Linked DNA regions of Saccharomyces cerevisiae S288C. The gene in region 2 interacts genetically with the main gene of each other region. Each region holds a gene or a part of one and is shown on either strand. Other genes may lie near its edges.

Region 1 (4,309 bases), on a different chromosome or scaffold from region 2:
TGCTCTTGCAGCAAATCCCGCTATTATGCTATATGGCGCCCATGACGGTTAAACTGGTGCAGTTGCCCAAGAGTGCCATGGATACCTTCAAGTCGGTTTCTAAATATGGAATGCTGCTGCTGCGGTGCGACGATAGGGTCGACAAGAAATTCGTATCGCAGATCCAGAAGAACGTTGATCTGCTTCAGTTTCCCTGGTTAAATGCTATCAAGTATCGGCCCACATCTGTCAAGCTGTTGAAAACTACAGTGCCAATTGTCTCGAAGAAGAGGCAAAAGTAGACAAAATTACCCGCGCAGGCCTATTTTTCTAGAAGACAGAAGAAAAAAGTGGGCAGAGAAAGCGAGGAAAAAAAGAAATACATATGAAGAAGAAAAAAGCTGAAATTTAAGCAAATACTTTTTGGACAAAATCATCAAACTACTACTAAAGTTTGAAACGATCGGAAAGTTACAACACATTTACGATAAAATATGGTTGTCTTGAATCCAAATAACTGGCATTGGGTGGATAAAAACACCTTACCTTGGTCTAAGGACTACTTGAACGGTAAATTAACGAGTTTGTCCACTGTTTCCTCTGATGGGAAGAGCAAAATTGAGTTAACCCAGGTGAGTAGCATCACCGGTGACTCCAACGTATCTCAAAGGAAGGGCAAGCCGATTTGCTACTTTGACTTACAGTTGTCGATGAACGTCAAAGTGACAAATTTGGATACTAATAAGGACGACGAGGATGATGACGGCATACTTGCGGACGGGAAACTAGAAATTCCAGAGTTTATGCATGACGAGTCTGATATTCCGATTTTGTCGCAAGGGTTTGATGCTTTTGATGGATTGGTTAGGTCTGAATTTGTCCCTAAAGTAGTGGAAACGCTACTAAAATACCAAGATGACTTGATTAAAGAACACTCAAAGGATATACAAGTTTGATGTGTTCATGTAACGAAAAGGGGAGCGTTGCATAGATAGACCACCGCCCCTTTTAATTTTTCCAGCGTTTTCAATTGTTATTCTTCTTCTTCCTCATACTCACCCAATACATAACATGTATACACACATACATAGATAATGAAGAAAATAGCAGTGGTAGAAAAACTTAATAAACATATGGAATGATCTTGTAAGGAACTTTTCTTTCGTATTCTTCCCAATTTTCGCCATATTTCAGGCGGCACTTGTGCTCATCACGTTGTTGACGGTGTAATAACAACGTGGCGAAGTACAACGAGTAGTAATATGTCAAGGGAGTTTGGAACCAGGTGGCCAAACACCAACTTAATGAAATCAGCCAATCGCCAAAGTAATTGATATGCTGTGATTTAGCCCACCACCCGTCACATAATAACTTTGTACCACGCTTTGTCTGAATACTTTTTAGATTTTCTAATTTACCTTGTCTAAACTCAGATTTTTGCTTATTTGCCGAGTGGAAGATGTGGAAACCCAAAAACATTATGGCTAATATACCGACAACTTTCACCCATCCCAATTCCACAGGGGAAACACTCAAGTAACGCGCTTGTAATGAGTAGGTGAATGGAACTAAACTTAAGTCACCAAACGCTAGCATGAAACCAAACCCATCTGTAGTGATATCCATCATGGTTAATACACCTTCCTCGTTTAGTACTCCATCGAAAATGTAAAATCCTTGCAAGAAATTAACCAAGACCAATGCATCGTTGATTTTACCAGTCTTCAGGTAATGGTGATGCAGACAGGAAAGATTGATCAGTAACCATAACAACATGCCGGGTCTCAACTCTGAAAACATCTTGATATCTAATGGGCCGAGACGAGGGTTCAGTTCTCTACCAATAAACCAATCGTAAATGATGTTTCCTGAATTTCCACCTAGTGCTAAGATCTTTTCCCTTTTGCCATTACCATTTTTCTTGAAGATCAATGGTATGAAGCTGGCAACATAGCAGTACGTCGCCAAAAAGAACGAAAACAAAATAGATATTATGCATAAACTAACGTGATTTTCATACAGATATTGCAATTCAGGCAATTGTCCATCAGTCAATTTCCATCTGATAGCCAAAACTAAGACCAAAGTTGTAGACATGGCAATTCCATTGATCTTATACGAAAGCTTCGAACCATCCCTTAACTGAACACCCTTCATGACTCTGCCCGGTAAAATGACGTCCAAAACTGCCAGTATTCCATACCACAGGCAATAGACAGTCCATAATTCACGATTGCCCAGATAGTAGCGCAATGGCTTGATACCGTTCCAAAGCTCAACTATATCGAAATTCTGGAAAAATCCCTTAATAAAATAATCGGGCCTTATCATTTGATTCAAGATGATAGTGAAAACAGGCAGCCCTATGCTGATGCCTAAGGCACCAATCAGCCCACCAAATTCAAACTCTGTAGTTCTGGGATTCAAAGCTGATACCATCCTTTTATTCTCTACACCGAATTTGTCTTTACTCCTATGCTGTTTACAAGGTCTATCTGATAAGCAATTGCGCAAGAAAATAGTAGAATGAAAACTGATTATTAAAAACAAACGTAAACTCAAGCCTCACTTGATGCTCAGACGGAGTACGTGAAAAACGTCCGTTATGCAAAACCCTTTATATGCACAACCTTCACACAATGCAAATTTCCGATGATGCCTACATACAAAAGAGCGAAAGGCGATATAAATTTTTTTCACGGGATTTTCGTTTAGGTGAAAATAAAATGAACGACAGAGCATGCAGAGTCCGGGTAATACATATGTTTCAATACTGTTTCAATACTGTTTCAGAAGTGCGTCACATATTAATTTTAACTTATAACTGGCCTGTTGCTGGCAAGAGGTATATATATATGACGAATGTGACCAACATAAGTCCTTAAGATAATCCCGAAATATTTGGTTAGGATGATTCCCTTTCGAATTTGTGAACGTTGATGATATGAGCGGTTTTAAATGCTATTTGCAATTGGGTGACAGGCTCTCTCAAATATGGCTAAATAAGTATACTTTGGTTTTGCTGCTAGCAATGCTGAAGCTTCTGTTTTTCTCCAAATCCATACAACATGCGATAGAAGTCTCGGAAACGTATATTTTGTCCAATTGTTACAGTATTGATTCACTATACTCCAAGATGACAGACAACACGCCGCACTATTTAGGTATCATGGGGAATTATCTTATCGAGAAGGGTATGGAGGAGACTGTTAAAGCTACGCTAGAGACGTTATCACTTATAGTATATGCGAGCGAGGGGCTGGTAAACTTTGCCATTGACCTGTATTTGGGCACTTATGCCTGTTTGATTGTTAGTGCCGTTGATGGTACCGTGGACGTTGCTACTAACATTACAGAAAAACTGATTAGCTTAGTCAATGATACAGTTTCAAGTGTGGCTAATGAATTGGATACGGGCTTGAATGACATCTCCAAAATAATCAATAAAGTGATCAAGGCCGCATCCAAAGTAGAGAATTTTTTCACAGGTGATGACGATGACAGTAACATGACGTCGTCAATCAAAAGCGTCAACTTAACCATATCTGCGCTTCACAATTTATACATTCCTTCCTCAATCAACGATAAGCTTGAAGAGTTATCGGCAAAGACGCCGGACTTTGCCCAGGTTAAGAATACAACCAAGAACCTGATCTCGGTTCCCTTCAATGAAGTTCGGAAGAATATCAAGGCCGTGAATGCCAGCAATATAATCGGAGATACCTCCGTTTTGTACGTACCTCCCGTGTCCCTTGACAACAGTACTGGGATTTGCTCATCCAATCAATCAGAAATTTTGGCCTTTTATTCCATCTTGGGACATGTCCTGAAAATAGCCACCGTAGTGTGCATTACCGTATTGATATGCTTCGCTGTTGGTGCGATGGCGCCCGTTGCATGGAATGAAATCAAGCTCTGGAGGCGCCTTTGCGGAATGAGAGACCATTACATGCTGAGCAGGCAAGATTCGTATACGTCCTTTTCCAGTGAAAACACGCACGAATTGAAAGATCCATTTAGAGATCCTCCTATACAAAATGGCCAATATGATGTCATTGCAAGCTATCAGCAGTGCTTTCAAACATGGAACACAAGAATAGCAGGCTGGATGACAAATCTTGTTACCTTTGGAAAATCACCAGAGAACATTGACCCAAAGACTAAACAAAAAATAGAATGGGTAGTGGCTTATATGACCTCCGAAAGAGCACTGTGTGTTCTTGGAATTGGACTTTTGGGAATTTTAGTGTGCATATGCCAATTTGTCATGATAGCACTGTTAAAACACAAGATAAGCCATTCATTGACTTCTAATGATGGTGACGGCGTT
Region 2 (5,030 bases):
GTACTTAATTTTATCGATCATCTAAGAATAGCATCGGTATTGTGGTGACATTTATTGAATTTCTTCCGCTCCAGAATAAAGTTCCTTTTCACTTCAAAAAACTGCCACCAGTAAAGTTGCACCAGTGGTTTTTGAGCATTTTTTGTCAATGTCGCTTAACCGTTCTTGAACTGTATCCTCTTGACGTCGATAAAATCATTTGTAAAAACCAGGCCAAATCATCATTGAATAATTTACACTGTGTCTTCAATGTCGCCATTTGGACCAATAATTATCAAACTGTTCACAATTCACTCAAAGTCCTTTCAGCAACATTCTTATGAAACAATACTTTCTTTGAATTTGTATGATGAAACAAAATTTTTTGGTTATTAATCATTTATCACTCTCGGTAGCCAAGTTGGTTTAAGGCGCAAGACTGTAATTTACCACTACGAAATCTTGAGATCGGGCGTTCGACTCGCCCCCGGGAGATTTTTTTAATGTGCTCTAAATAGAATGTGGATGAAATTTCTCTTGGCCGCCGTACCCTTCTTCATAATTAATAATTTCTTTCCATTTTGCAGGATTATATCTGATCAATAAGTGATTGTAAAGATTTTGTTTGTGAGAAATATGTGAATTTTTAATTTTGGTTATAACTTAATAATTGTTGGAATTCCATTTTTGATAAAGATGAAAATTGGTGAATTTTGAGATAATTGTTGGGATTCCATTGTTGATAAAGGCTATAATATTAGGTATACAGAATATACTAGAAGTTCTCCTCGAGGATCTAGGAATCCTCATAATGGAACCTATATTTCTATATACTAATATTCCGTTTTATTCCTTATTCCGTTTTATATGTTTCATTATCCTATTACATTATCAATCCTTGCACTTCAGCTTCCTCTAACTTCGATGACAGCTTCTCATAACTTATGCCATCATCTTAGCACCATATATGATAATATATTGGTAGTATGACTACTAGTTGATAGACTGAAGAGAATGTGGATTTTGATGTAATTGTTGGGATTCCATTTTTAATAAGGCAATAATATTAGGTATGTAGATATACTAGAAGTTCTCCTCGAGGATTTAGGAATCCATAAAAGGGAATCTGCAATTCTATACAATTCTATAAATATTATTATCATCATTTTATATGTTAATATTCATTGATCCTATTACATTATCAATCCTTGCGTTTCAGCTTCCACTAATTTAGATGACTATTTCTCATCATTTGCGTCATCTTCTAACACCGTATATGATAATATACTAGCAACGTAAATACTAGTTAGTAGATGATAGTTGATTTTTATTCCAACATAGACGATAGTTGATTTTTATTCCAACAGTGTTGACATATAAATACTAGTCAACTAAATGGTAATTGGTTATTATTCCTCAACATTCTGCTACCAAACGCAAATGTAGTAGGAGAGTTTAGATTTTCAACGTTGGTTTGCGAGATTGGTGAAATCAAAGCATAGTTTACCTTTAATCCCAATCTTCCAACAAACAGTAGCTCGCGTGGCGTAATGGCAACGCGTCTGACTTCTAATCAGAAGATTATGGGTTCGACCCCCATCGTGAGTGCTTTGTTTCTTCCGTGATAGTTTAATGGTCAGAATGGGCGCTTGTCGCGTGCCAGATCGGGGTTCAATTCCCCGTCGCGGAGATTTTTTTTGAAGCTGTTGTAGTTACTACTTTAAGATCCAGATTGATACAGTACGTATGTGAGGCAACAGATACTTGCAATATAACAAGTTTTGTGAAGAGATAGTGTGAATACCTATGGTTCCACGCAAGAAATCATCTATTTGAATTTTCGGCTTCTATAAGAATGACAAAACTCATAGGAAGCTGCAATGCATTAATTTTCCGTAAGCTTTATTAACCCGTTAGCCGCTCAAGTCGCTTTTCTCAGGTCGCGCTCCTCTTCTCCGGACTTATGTGGCTCCCTTTAGAATATAAGGGTCTTCCCTTTAACGGAACAGTAAGGTTCCACAAGGTGGCAAAAAAGGCAATCCAACCGACACTTCGGCAAATTTCTTTCACTCTAGTCAGAGCTAAGTTCTTATATATACTTTCTAAATAATTATCTGCTAAAATAAGAAAAGAAGGAGCCTAAATACGTATATCTATATACATGTATACACGTGAGCTAATAAATTATGTTATCTTTGAAAAAAGGAATAACAAAATCATACATCTTGCAAAGAACTTTCACTTCTTCCTCTGTTGTTCGTCAAATTGGGGAAGTGAAATCTGAATCGAAACCGCCGGCCAAATATCATATTATCGACCATGAATATGATTGTGTGGTGGTAGGCGCTGGCGGTGCAGGTTTAAGAGCAGCTTTCGGTTTGGCTGAAGCTGGATACAAGACTGCTTGTTTATCCAAGTTGTTTCCAACAAGGTCACATACTGTGGCTGCTCAGGGTGGAATTAATGCTGCGCTGGGAAATATGCATCCAGATGATTGGAAATCGCACATGTACGACACTGTCAAGGGTTCTGACTGGCTCGGAGACCAAGATGCAATCCATTACATGACAAGAGAAGCACCTAAGTCTGTCATTGAACTAGAACATTACGGTATGCCCTTTTCGAGGACTGAAGATGGAAGGATTTACCAGAGAGCATTTGGGGGACAATCCAAAGATTTTGGTAAAGGTGGACAGGCCTATAGGACTTGTGCGGTGGCAGATAGAACAGGTCACGCAATGCTTCATACATTGTATGGACAAGCGCTGAAAAATAATACACACTTCTTTATTGAATACTTTGCAATGGATTTGTTGACCCATAATGGCGAGGTTGTGGGTGTCATTGCCTATAATCAGGAGGACGGTACAATTCACAGATTCAGAGCACATAAGACCGTCATCGCGACAGGCGGATACGGTAGAGCTTACTTCTCTTGCACTTCTGCTCACACTTGTACAGGTGACGGTAATGCTATGGTTTCTCGCGCTGGATTTCCACTAGAGGATTTAGAATTTGTTCAATTTCATCCGTCAGGAATTTATGGGTCTGGCTGCCTAATCACTGAAGGTGCCCGTGGTGAGGGTGGATTTTTATTGAATTCTGAAGGAGAAAGGTTTATGGAACGCTATGCTCCTACTGCCAAGGACTTGGCAAGCAGGGATGTTGTTTCCAGAGCAATCACCATGGAAATCAGGGCTGGCAGAGGTGTCGGGAAAAACAAGGATCATATCCTTTTACAATTAAGCCATCTACCACCTGAGGTACTAAAGGAAAGGCTACCGGGAATATCTGAAACAGCTGCTGTCTTTGCGGGTGTCGATGTCACCCAGGAGCCAATTCCTGTCTTGCCAACTGTCCATTATAATATGGGAGGCATTCCCACAAAATGGACTGGTGAAGCATTGACCATTGACGAGGAAACTGGAGAGGATAAGGTCATCCCAGGATTGATGGCGTGTGGTGAAGCTGCTTGCGTATCGGTTCATGGAGCGAACAGATTAGGCGCTAACTCACTACTGGATTTAGTCGTTTTCGGTCGCGCCGTTGCAAATACCATTGCTGACACATTACAGCCTGGCTTGCCTCATAAGCCATTGGCTTCAAACATCGGGCACGAGTCAATTGCTAATTTGGATAAAGTAAGAAATGCTCGCGGCTCACTGAAAACCTCTCAAATCAGGTTGAACATGCAAAGGACAATGCAAAAAGATGTTTCTGTTTTCAGGACGCAAGACACTCTAGATGAAGGTGTTAGAAATATTACTGAAGTGGACAAGACATTTGAGGATGTGCACGTTTCTGATAAGTCAATGATCTGGAATTCTGATCTCGTAGAAACTCTGGAATTGCAAAATTTACTTACTTGTGCCACACAAACGGCTGTTTCTGCTTCCAAAAGAAAGGAGTCTCGTGGTGCTCATGCGAGAGAGGACTATGCAAAAAGAGATGATGTGAATTGGAGAAAGCACACATTATCATGGCAAAAGGGGACATCAACACCTGTAAAAATCAAGTACAGGAATGTAATCGCACATACTTTAGATGAGAATGAATGCGCCCCAGTCCCTCCAGCTGTCAGATCCTATTAATTCTTATTTATTTATTTATTTATTTTGGAGGGCAAACTTATTTATTGATCTGGCAAAAATGATCTTTCCCTTTTTTCTTATTTTTCTCTCTATCTCTCTCATTGATTCTTGGTCAATAGTACTCGTTTACTGTCAACTTACACCTTATCTATTATGCTATATAATTTTATGCAAGACATTGAAGTACAATATACGTCGAGCTGCAATATGCAAAAATATCAGAGGGAAACCAGCTCATTAGGAAATATGACATGTGGGCTATCTGTTTGTTGGTGGTAGCTGGGTTTTTTTTTTTTTTTTTTTGATTTTGTCGTGCGGGTGTGCAGGCTGGGATTTCAAACAAATAACAACGAGTAATTGACAAGAAAAACTTATTGGCTTATTTTCTTTTTGTTCTTCAAAATTGTTTGCCTTACCCTCTCCCTCAGTTTGTTTTCGAGTGATTGTCTATTAGGATCAATAGTCAACTTTGCTGTTTCCATACTTAAAACATCACTAGTCTTTATGCCGAACTTCGCATTTATAAAAGTGTCGCAAATCAATCTCATATCGTCGTAATTTTTTCCATACCACAATTCACATAAATTTCCAGTGACCTTACACAGGTCTAAAAACTTTTCATCATCTTTACTGGCATCTTCCTTTTCAAAAATTTTCTTGAAATGCAAAATCAATTCAACAAATTCATCGTTATTATTCGTATGTTCATAGTCACCTTGGCTCACTAGTTCGTGAAGCTCATCGTAAATGGATAACAAAAGGGTGATGATAGTGCATGCAATGAAAATATCCAAGGGATAATTGAACGTCAGGACGTGGTCCCAAACGATTAGCACATATTTTAAGGGTAATTCTCTTAAAAATAACAACCTTGTCCATCGGATGAGCCAGATTAGGTTGGAGTGAATCAGATGGTCTACGTTTTTTTTCTTCCCGCTGCCCGTTTTTGGTGGTTGGTAA
Region 3 (4,846 bases), on a different chromosome or scaffold from region 2:
TAAAGGTCTAAAGTCATCCACATGAAAATTTTTAAAGGTATGGATGCACTGTGTTAGGAGCGAATTTGCCAACAACGGTTCATCGTAGGGGAAAGTTGTAGTGGCTAAAATCAGATATGCTTGAACGAGCCTTATATCGGGATGCGCCATGAAATCACATTGTTTCAATTGGAATAATGAGCAGCGTGCAAAATTTTGGCACATGACTAATTGCATACCATCTTCCCAATTGAGCCTTTTGTTGCTACCCAAATATTCATGGAGAGGATATACTGAAAATATTTCTGCTAACTTCTCGACTGGCATATAATAAATGCACATGGTAAAGACAGACCATATTAGTGCGTCCCAGTATTTGCCGTCTACACTGTGATTCTTGTCTGCCCTTCTATCCCAGTACTGTTCCACCCTCAAATATAATTCACTGATATCTCCAATGGAACCAAAATACAAAGCACCTAAGTTTTCCATAGCAAAGTTCATCAATTGGAATGATTGGTCTTTTTGAAGATAATTCATCCAAAACATACATTCTTCAGTATCAGTATCCAAATTAGCTGGTGTTCTAGTAAGATCTCTTTGTTTTGTTTTGTACAGCCCAATATTCGTTATCCAATATTCATAATTTTGCCAGAATAACAATAGGTCAGGGAGATATTCCTTGGAAGATGAAGCCGTTATTAGTTTTGTTGATTTCATACATTCGGAGTCCTGTCCTCTCTTCCTGCAGTTTCCACACGGTATCATACGATCACATTTGACTTTTCGCCTCGTACACACGGAACAGGGATGCTTGGATTTCAGTTGAGTGGTACGGTTAAACATTATTATTAGGATGCAAACTCGTGTTCGTAACTTTTGTCATCACCTGCTCTCTGAAGGTTGGTTATAATATTTCATTCTCTTACGCTTAGCTTACATGGCTGCGCGCACTTCATTTAAAGCCGTAAAAAATAAAGATTTCATAGAATATGAAGCTTTGAATCTCATGTAAACATTTATATAACTATGTAACGAATTATTTATCCAATGAAAGATCCACATGGACTGATTTTATTTGTAAATAGTTATCAACGCCGGTGTCGCCTGATTCTCTACCAATACCACTCATCTTAAATCCGCCAAAAGGAACTTTAGCTTCTTCTTGATTGGTTTGATTGATCCAAACAGTTCCTGCTTTAATATCGCGAGCAAACATGTGCGCTTTCTTGACATCTTTGGTGAAGACCGCAGAGGCGAGCCCGTAGCAAGTATCATTAGCCAGCTTCAGAGCGTCATCATAATTTGTGAACTTGCTAACAACCACAACCGGGCCAAATATTTCATCACGCAGCAACTTAGATGTTTCTGGTACATCAGTGAAGATGGTTGGGGGAATGAAGTAGCCTTTAGCTCCACCAATAGGAAATTCAGAGGTCTGGAACATGTCCAACTTTTCCTCCTTTTTACCACGTTCTATGTAACTTTTGATGCGGTCATACTGTGTACTTGATATAACTGGACCAACGATGCATTTCTCATCAAACGGATCAAATTTTCCTGCAACATCCCACTCCTTCTTTGCAGTTTCTTTAAACTTTTCAACAAACTTGTCGTAGATCGAACTTTGAACATAAACTCTTGAGTTTGCAGTGCAGATCTGTCCCGAATTAAAAAAAATACCATTTGCTACCCATTCTATAGCCTTATCAAGGTCTGCATCTTCAAATACAAGAGCAGGAGACTTACCACCGCATTCTAGTGTGATATCCTTAAGGTTCGATTGGCCGGAAGCTTCCAATACTGAGCCGCCAACCTTAGTACTTCCCGTAAAAGATATTTTGTCGATATCCATGTGGGTTCCTAAAGCTTTCCCCACAACGGAACCATAACCAGGAATGACATTGACAACACCAGGTGGAAAACCTGCTTTTTTAATTAAAGTAGCAAAATAAAGTAGAGATAGAGAGGTATTTTCAGCAGGTTTGATGATAACCGTGTTACCGGCCGCTAAGGCACCTTGCATTTTTCTACAAGCCATAGCTAGAGGATAATTCCATGGAACGATTTGAGCAACAACGCCAAAAGGAACTTTTAGAGTATATGCAAACTTGTTAAAAGTCAATGGAATGGTTTCACCCATATTGAACTTGTCGACCGCCCCCGCATAGTATCTTGTAAGTTCTATAATCTGGGCTAAGTCTTGTTTAGCATTGGAATGGAAAGGCTTACCAGCGTCTAAAGTCTCTAATGCGGCAAGTGTGTCTTGCTCCTCCTCAATAAGTTTTAATAAGTTTGAAAGATAAATACCACGTTGCTCAGAAGATGTCTTCGACCAAACGTTATCAAAAGCAGCCCTGGCAGCTTTCACAGCTTTGTCTACATCCTTTTCGTTAGCTGCTTGGAAGGATGTTATCGGTTCGCCAGTAGCTGGGTTCACAGTTTCGATGGTCTTTCCATCTGATGATGGACAAAACTCATTGTTGATAAACAACCCTAGCGGTTGCTTTAAAGAGATTTTCAATTGTGGGATTTCGATATCAGTATACAAGGTAGGCATTTTTCTTTTGGCTAATTTTCTAAATGTGTATAATCTATATCTCTATGATACAAGTCCAAGGTATAATTACCTGGCATGAGTCAAATTTATTCCCATCCAGATTTGCCATTTTATACAATTAGTTTCTGAGGTATGATCAGTTAAATCTACGCTATTCGTTTGAACAATCTCCCTGTCTCCTCCCTAAACTTACTAATTCCTTAACCCTTAGGGAGTTTAGCAATCAGCTTAAGAAGGGGGCTGATCAACAATCCGGTTCAAGTCTTGGATTAGCAGTAATGAAAATCCCTAAATGCACTAAAGGGCGTGGAAGAAAGGTACTGTAGAGTTCTAATAGTGATACTTTCCTTGTACTCCAGGGGGGGAAGGAAGAACAGACGTCATATGCAGAAAAAGAAAAAAAAAAGACGGAAGATCTACGTAATGGTGGGAATAGAGAAAACTAACACGCAAGTATAATTTCTTGACACAAAAATAAATCTCACTGAGTTTATAGCTCTATTTTTTTACCATCTTAAGGGATTTCTAGGACCTAGTAACAACAATTGTTCCGCATGCTGAAATAATGGTGCTTACAGTTTTATATCGAGTAGTGGACTACTACTGTTTGCTAGACTGTCAACATATTCATCCGTCGTCAGGCTAAGCTATTTAGGTACTTACGCACTTACATAATGATAACTATCACATTAGTTGTCCAAAGAGAGATTTATGTGAACTGCTTTTGTTTGAAGATAGGTATCAACACCACTTTGCCCCAGTTCTCTACCAATACCACTCATTTTAAACCCGCCAAAAGGAACGGTAACATCTTCATCGTTAGATGAGTTGATCCAAACAGTTCCTGCTTTAATATCGCGAGCAAACATGTGCGCTTTCTTGACATCTTTTGTGAAGACCGCAGAGGCGAGCCCGTAGCAAGTATCATTAGCCAGCTTCAGAGCGTCATCATAATTTGTGAACTTGCTAACAACCACAACCGGGCCAAATATCTCATCCTGTAACAGTTTCGATGTTTGCGGGACATCAGTGAAGATGGTTGGGGGAATGAAGTAGCCTTTAGCTCCACCAATAGGAAATTCAGAGGTCTGGAACATGTCCAACTTTTCCTCCCTTTTACCACGTTCTATGTAACTTTTGATGCGGTCATACTGTGTACTTGATATAACTGGACCAACGATGCATTTCTCATCAAACGGATCAAATTTTCCTGCAACATCCCACTCCTTCTTTGCAGTTTCTTTAAACTTTTCAACAAACTTGTCGTAGATCGAACTTTGAACATAAACTCTTGAGTTTGCGGTACAATTCTGTCCTGAATTGTAGAAAATGCCAGCTGCTATCCAATCGATAGCCTTATCAAGGTCTGCATCTTCAAATACGAGAGCAGGAGACTTACCACCGCATTCTAGTGTAACGTCTTTAAGGTTCGATTGGCCGGAAGCTTCCAACACAAATCCACCGACCTTGGTGCTTCCCGTAAAAGATATTTTGTCGATATCCATGTGAGATGCTAGGGCTTGGCCTACAAGTGATCCATAACCAGGAACGATATTGACAACACCAGGTGGAAAACCTGCTTTTTTAATTAAAGTAGCAAAATAAAGTAGAGATAGAGAGGTATTCTCAGCAGGTTTGATGATAACCGTGTTACCGGCTGCTAAGGCACCTTGCAATTTCCAACAAGCCATAGCTAGAGGATAATTCCATGGAACGATTTGAGCAACAACGCCAAAAGGAACTTTTAGAGTATATGCAAACTTGTTAAAAGTCAATGGTATGGTTGCACCTTTGTCAAACTTATCAGCGGACCCAGCAAAATATCTGGTAAGCTGTAAAATTTGTGCCAAATCACCTTTGGCATTTGAATGGTAAGGCTTTCCAGCGTCTAAAGTCTCTAATGCGGCAAGTGTGTCTTGCTCCTCCTCAATAAGTTTTAATAAGTTTGAAAGATAAATACCACGTTGCTCAGAAGATGTCTTCGACCAAACGTTATCAAAAGCAGCCCTGGCAGCTTTCACAGCTTTGTCTACATCCTTTTCGTTAGCTGCTTGGAAGGATGTTATCGGTTCGCCAGTAGCTGGGTTCACAGTTTCGATGGTCTTTCCATCTGATGATGGACAAAACTCATTGTTGATAAACAACCCTAGCGGTTGCTTTAAAGAGATTTTCAATTGTGGGATTTCGATATCAGTATACAAGGTAGGCATTTTTCTTTTGGCTTATTTTCACGATTGTTTTTGATGGACATGCAATGTAAAAATGATAGGAATGGGCCAAAAGTATTTTTAAGGATTCGCTCCCTTT
Region 4 (5,303 bases), on a different chromosome or scaffold from region 2:
AGATTGCAAAGCACCGCCGGTCAACTGAGGTCCTAAATTAACGCCAAATGAAGTCTGTGGCATCATACCAGTTGTCTGTGGCATCATACCAGTTGTCTGTGGCATCATACCAGTTGTCTGAGGTTGCAAAGCATTGCCAGTAATGTTGGGTTGCATAGAGGCAGGTGCTCCTCCAGTAATTTGGGGGTTCAATCCGGGAGTTCCGGTATTCATTGACATGTTGAAAGTGGTTGGTGCCATAAATCCTGTGGATTGAGGATTCAACGCCGAGGCAACACCGCCTCCAGTAATTTGAGACTGTAATGGGATACCAAAACTAGTTTGAGGCATATATCCTGTTGGTTGAGGTTGCAAATTTTGTACGCCCGCTGTAATGAATTCATCAAAGGGAGTTTTTGGGGCATCGTTTGCGGAAGAATCCTGGTTTGCAATGCTTAAATTAATGGCGTCAATAAAACTTGAAACTTCGTTTTTTGTCTTAGAATCCAATTCGTAAGGGATAGTGTCACCTTGTAAGACATCATTGATCAAATGCATTGCTAATGCAAATTCAGGAAACAGTAACTCACCTGCTTTTGATGTATCACAAAGCGTCCAAATTCTTGCGAGTTGAGAAGGTGGCAAACCGGATCTCATCAAAATTTTCCTACAATTAGCACCGGAAACAGTATTCGAACCATTGGTAACAATTGATCTGAATAGAGTCTCAAATTTTGCCTGATCTTGGGCAGTAATAAACGACAATCTAATGGCAGGGATTTTGATATCATTGTTTAGACCGTTGTTGGCAAATGAGTTGACAAAGCCAGTTGCGGTGGGCTTTAATGGTTCTAAGGGAGCTTGGTTTTGCGGTTGAAGGTAAAATCCTGTTTGCTGCGGCTTCAAAGGTTGCAAGGACTGTGCTTGCTGAGGAGGTGGCACCTGTTGAGGTTGAGATTGATAATAACCAGTGCCCTGGGCCTGAAGGGGCTGCTGGGTTTGATTAGAAGAGATCAAATTGGGTGTAGACACATAATATCCTGTCCCTTGAGATTGCAAAGGTTGTACTGAGTGTACATTTGCAGTATTAGCAGCTTGGTAATAGCCTGTTCCTTGGGGTTGTATGGATTGTAGCTGAGGCTGTTGAGCCGGATTAGGTGGAGGCATGGTGCCAGTAGTATTCATCATAGGCATACTGGAATTTGGTACGTATCCCGTATGCTGCGGTTTCGCCTGCTGTTGTTGCTGCTGGGGTTGTTGGCCAAAATTACCATTACCATATACACTACCATTATTTCCATTATTATTGTAACCCGTTTGGGGCTGCTGTGGCATACTTGAGAAAGAATTACCAAAACTTTGAGGCATCCCACCAATTCCGGTAGCCTGAGGCTGGTTAAACGCCATTTGCTGTTGTGGTTGAGGCTGGCCTTGGGGCTGGTTTGAAGACTGACCTTGCTGCTGCTGCGGGTAGAATCCATTTGGTTGTTGCTGCTGTTGCTGCTGTTGCTGCTGGTAACCCATGCCCTGTTGCTGGTACGGGTTATACATATTCAGTTGTACAGATTAGCAATTTCGCGTCGCTGATAGATTCTTCCTCTTCCTGCTTCTCGACGTGTGTTTCGCCAATAGATCTATATGGCTTTCTAATGCTTTTTTTCTTCCAATACCAACTTTTGCCCCTAACAAGAAAAAAATATCGTCGACGTGTCATGTGATCAAGCCAATTTATAATAACAAGCGATTGATAAACAGAGTATACATAGCTACTATGCGACTGAGAGATCAATCGGTTATCGTGAGCACCTACCTTTAAGGTTTAACAGATCTGGACGTGATTTTTTTTTTTTTTTTTTGACGAACCAGATTGTCAAATAAACATTGTTAATTGATGAATTTTTAATATCTGCCCAATTGAAGCATAAAAAGCGTCTTAGGAAAGCATTCGTTAAATATCTCTACTGTTGGTAAGCAGGTACTTCAGTAAAAAACCATATTAAACCCAAAATTATCAAATTAGTAGTACATAAGATCGAAGTAGAAAAAATATAGATTATAATCCGATATAGTGTAACGGCTATCACATCACGCTTTCACCGTGGAGACCGGGGTTCGACTCCCCGTATCGGAGTATGTTTATTTTATTTTTTTCATATCCGCTCGAATATTGCCTTCGTTTAAGGTTTCTATATCTCTGGTAAACCTTAACAATGGAATTAATATTAATTCTATATTTCGCAATAATTCTACTGACAGTTATTTTCTTAACCTTTCTTCTCTTTTTTTATTTATTTATTTCTTTTTCTTTCGTACCTAAATTGTTTGAATTTAATAAGAACAGATCATATGCCTGCCAAAATACACATTTCTGCAGACGGTCAGTTTTGCGATAAAGATGGCAACGAGATCCAATTGCGTGGTGTCAATTTGGATCCGTCAGTTAAAATCCCTGCAAAGCCATTCCTATCCACCCACGCTCCCATAGAAAATGACACGTTTTTCGAGGATGCTGATAAAGTCAGTTTCATCAATCACCCCTTAGTTCTTGATGATATCGAACAGCATATCATCAGATTGAAATCACTGGGTTACAATACCATTCGTTTACCCTTCACCTGGGAATCTCTTGAACATGCTGGTCCAGGACAGTACGATTTTGACTATATGGATTATATCGTCGAGGTACTAACCAGGATTAACAGCGTACAACAAGGTATGTACATTTATTTGGACCCTCACCAAGACGTCTGGTCTAGGTTTAGCGGTGGATCTGGAGCACCGCTATGGACCTTATACTGTGCAGGGTTTCAACCTGCAAACTTCCTGGCCACCGATGCTGCAATCTTACATAATTATTATATTGACCCCAAAACGGGCAGGGAAGTTGGCAAAGATGAAGAGTCCTACCCTAAGATGGTTTGGCCTACAAACTACTTCAAACTGGCGTGTCAAACAATGTTTACGTTATTCTTTGGTGGGAAACAATATGCTCCTAAGTGCACAATTAATGGAGAAAACATACAGGATTACTTGCAAGGAAGGTTTAATGATGCAATCATGACACTGTGCGCAAGAATTAAAGAAAAGGCTCCTGAGTTGTTTGAGAGCAACTGCATTATTGGATTAGAGTCTATGAACGAGCCAAACTGTGGTTACATTGGTGAAACAAATCTCGATGTGATTCCGAAAGAGAGAAATTTGAAATTGGGCAAAACGCCAACGGCATTTCAAAGCTTTATGCTGGGTGAAGGTATTGAGTGCACAATAGATCAATATAAAAGGACATTTTTTGGATTTTCTAAGGGAAAACCGTGCACAATCAATCCCAAAGGCAAAAAAGCTTGGCTGAGTGCAGAGGAAAGAGATGCGATAGATGCGAAGTATAATTGGGAAAGGAACCCTGAATGGAAACCAGACACTTGCATTTGGAAACTCCATGGTGTTTGGGAGATTCAGAATGGTAAACGCCCTGTTTTACTCAAACCAAATTACTTTAGCCAACCTGATGCAACGGTATTTATAAACAATCATTTTGTTGACTATTACACTGGAATTTATAACAAGTTTAGGGAATTCGATCAAGAATTGTTTATTATAATCCAACCGCCGGTAATGAAGCCACCACCCAATTTACAAAATTCTAAAATATTGGACAATAGGACGATTTGTGCATGTCATTTTTATGATGGTATGACACTAATGTATAAGACATGGAATAAACGAATTGGCATAGACACCTATGGACTAGTAAACAAAAAATACTCAAATCCTGCCTTTGCTGTAGTGCTTGGCGAAAACAATATACGGAAATGCATTAGGAAGCAATTATCAGAAATGCAAAAGGACGCTAAATCCATGCTTGGAAAAAAAGTACCTGTATTCTTCACCGAAATTGGTATTCCATTTGACATGGACGACAAGAAAGCATATATTACAAATGACTATTCTTCACAGACCGCTGCATTGGATGCTCTTGGATTTGCATTAGAAGGAAGTAATCTTTCGTACACCTTATGGTGTTATTGCAGTATTAATTCACATATATGGGGTGACAATTGGAACAATGAAGATTTTTCGATTTGGTCCCCGGATGACAAACCACTCTATCACGATACCCGAGCAAAAACTCCTACTCCTGAGCCATCTCCAGCCTCTACTGTGGCTTCGGTATCCACTTCTACATCTAAATCGGGTTCTTCACAACCACCAAGTTTCATAAAACCAGATAATCATTTAGATTTGGATAGTCCCTCGTGCACTTTAAAGAGCGACTTGTCAGGGTTCAGAGCTCTTGATGCTATAATGAGACCATTCCCCATACAAATTCACGGAAGATTTGAGTTTGCTGAGTTTAACTTATGTAATAAATCCTACCTTTTGAAATTAGTTGGTAAAACGACACCTGAACAGATAACTGTCCCTACATATATTTTTATACCACGGCACCATTTTACACCAAGCCGGTTGTCAATTCGTTCATCATCAGGTCATTATACCTATAACACTGACTACCAGGTTCTTGAATGGTTTCACGAGCCTGGCCATCAGTTCATTGAAATTTGCGCAAAATCGAAGTCAAGGCCCAACACCCCTGGAAGTGACACTTCGAATGACTTACCAGCGGAATGCGTTATCAGCTAAACAAAAATTGAACCAAAAGCTATAGTAGTCATATATATATATATACACCCTTTTTATTGTTACAAAAAGATTTCACCATCAGAAATCTAAAGAAGCCGGTTCATCATCATCTTCACGTTCTCTTTTCACTGAACCCAGTTCATTTTTCAAAAGAGAACTCACATATGCTTGGAACTGATTGATAAAAGGTTGTAAAGCTGTTAATGAAACATCATTATTTTTCTCCATTTCTGTTTGAAGATCAATTAGCTTAGGTGCTTTTTCAGGTGCAAAGGATTCATCAATAGGCACACAGACATTCCCCGTAGCAGGATGAATACAAAAAGGGGCCTTTAACAAATGAATTGTTTGCTTTGTAACTTCCACATCCAGCTTCGGATAAAGAGTCATCAATACGAGATCTTCCTTACATTCACGTAACTTAATTATGTGAGAGTCTTGCTTGGGGCCTTTGAAGAGCGATGTAGCTATCTGATCTATATCATTCCACTTCTCTTTGCTTGACCTCCTTGGATTGTCCAGCCAATACTTCTTTAATGAATCAATCAATTGTTTATCATATAATGCAGGCAATAAAGTTTGGATAGCATGTTGGTCATCTTCCCAAGGATTTTGCTCTTCGAGCATAATGCTGACAAAGAAAGGTTTCAATTGCTCCAAAGAACGAGCAAGATGAGGGTGAT

What was found.
Region 1: mutations in SDH9 (region 2) and ERG24 together harm fitness less than expected from each alone (positive genetic interaction), as found in Saccharomyces cerevisiae (one large-scale study listed by BioGRID).
Region 3: mutations in SDH9 (region 2) and ALD3 together harm fitness more than expected from each alone (negative genetic interaction), as found in Saccharomyces cerevisiae (one large-scale study listed by BioGRID).
Region 4: mutations in SDH9 (region 2) and EGH1 together harm fitness more than expected from each alone (negative genetic interaction), as found in Saccharomyces cerevisiae (one large-scale study listed by BioGRID).

What each region holds. Positions count from the first base shown.
Region 1 is NC_001146.8:107,994-112,302, forward strand, and holds ERG24 (delta(14)-sterol reductase), read right to left. Parts: upstream 2,419-4,309; coding exon 1,102-2,418; downstream 1-1,101. Other genes in the region: POP3 (Pop3p), read left to right, coding at 1-281; HCH1 (Hch1p), read left to right, coding at 474-935; pheromone-regulated protein PRM1, read left to right, coding at 2,924-4,309. UniProt on the Saccharomyces cerevisiae protein: Delta(14)-sterol reductase; part of the third module of ergosterol biosynthesis pathway that includes the late steps of the pathway. ERG24 reduces the C14=C15 double bond of 4,4-dimethyl-cholesta-8,14,24-trienol to produce 4,4-dimethyl-cholesta-8,24-dienol.
Region 2 is NC_001142.9:353,859-358,888, forward strand, and holds SDH9 (succinate dehydrogenase SDH9), read left to right. Parts: upstream 1-2,165; coding exon 2,166-4,070; downstream 4,071-5,030. Other genes in the region: GTPase-activating protein GYP6, read right to left, coding at 4,442-5,030. UniProt on the Saccharomyces cerevisiae protein: Probable minor catalytic subunit of succinate dehydrogenase (SDH) that is involved in complex II of the mitochondrial electron transport chain and is responsible for transferring electrons from succinate to ubiquinone (coenzyme Q).
Region 3 is NC_001145.3:598,334-603,179, forward strand, and holds ALD3 (aldehyde dehydrogenase (NAD(+)) ALD3), read right to left. Parts: upstream 2,540-4,846; coding exon 1,019-2,539; downstream 1-1,018. Other genes in the region: CEP3 (Cep3p), read right to left, coding at 1-825; aldehyde dehydrogenase (NAD(+)) ALD2, read right to left, coding at 3,229-4,749. UniProt on the Saccharomyces cerevisiae protein: Cytoplasmic aldehyde dehydrogenase involved in ethanol oxidation. Involved in pantothenic acid production through the conversion of 3-aminopropanal to beta-alanine, an intermediate in pantothenic acid (vitamin B5) and coenzyme A (CoA) biosynthesis.
Region 4 is NC_001141.2:368,379-373,681, forward strand, and holds EGH1 (hydrolase), read left to right. Parts: upstream 1-2,325; coding exon 2,326-4,620; downstream 4,621-5,303. Other genes in the region: actin cytoskeleton-regulatory complex protein PAN1, read right to left, coding at 1-1,530; DNA primase subunit PRI1, read right to left, coding at 4,699-5,303. UniProt on the Saccharomyces cerevisiae protein: Ergosteryl beta-glucosidase involved in the ergosteryl beta-glucoside (EG) catabolic pathway and vacuole formation via hydrolysis of EG to generate glucose.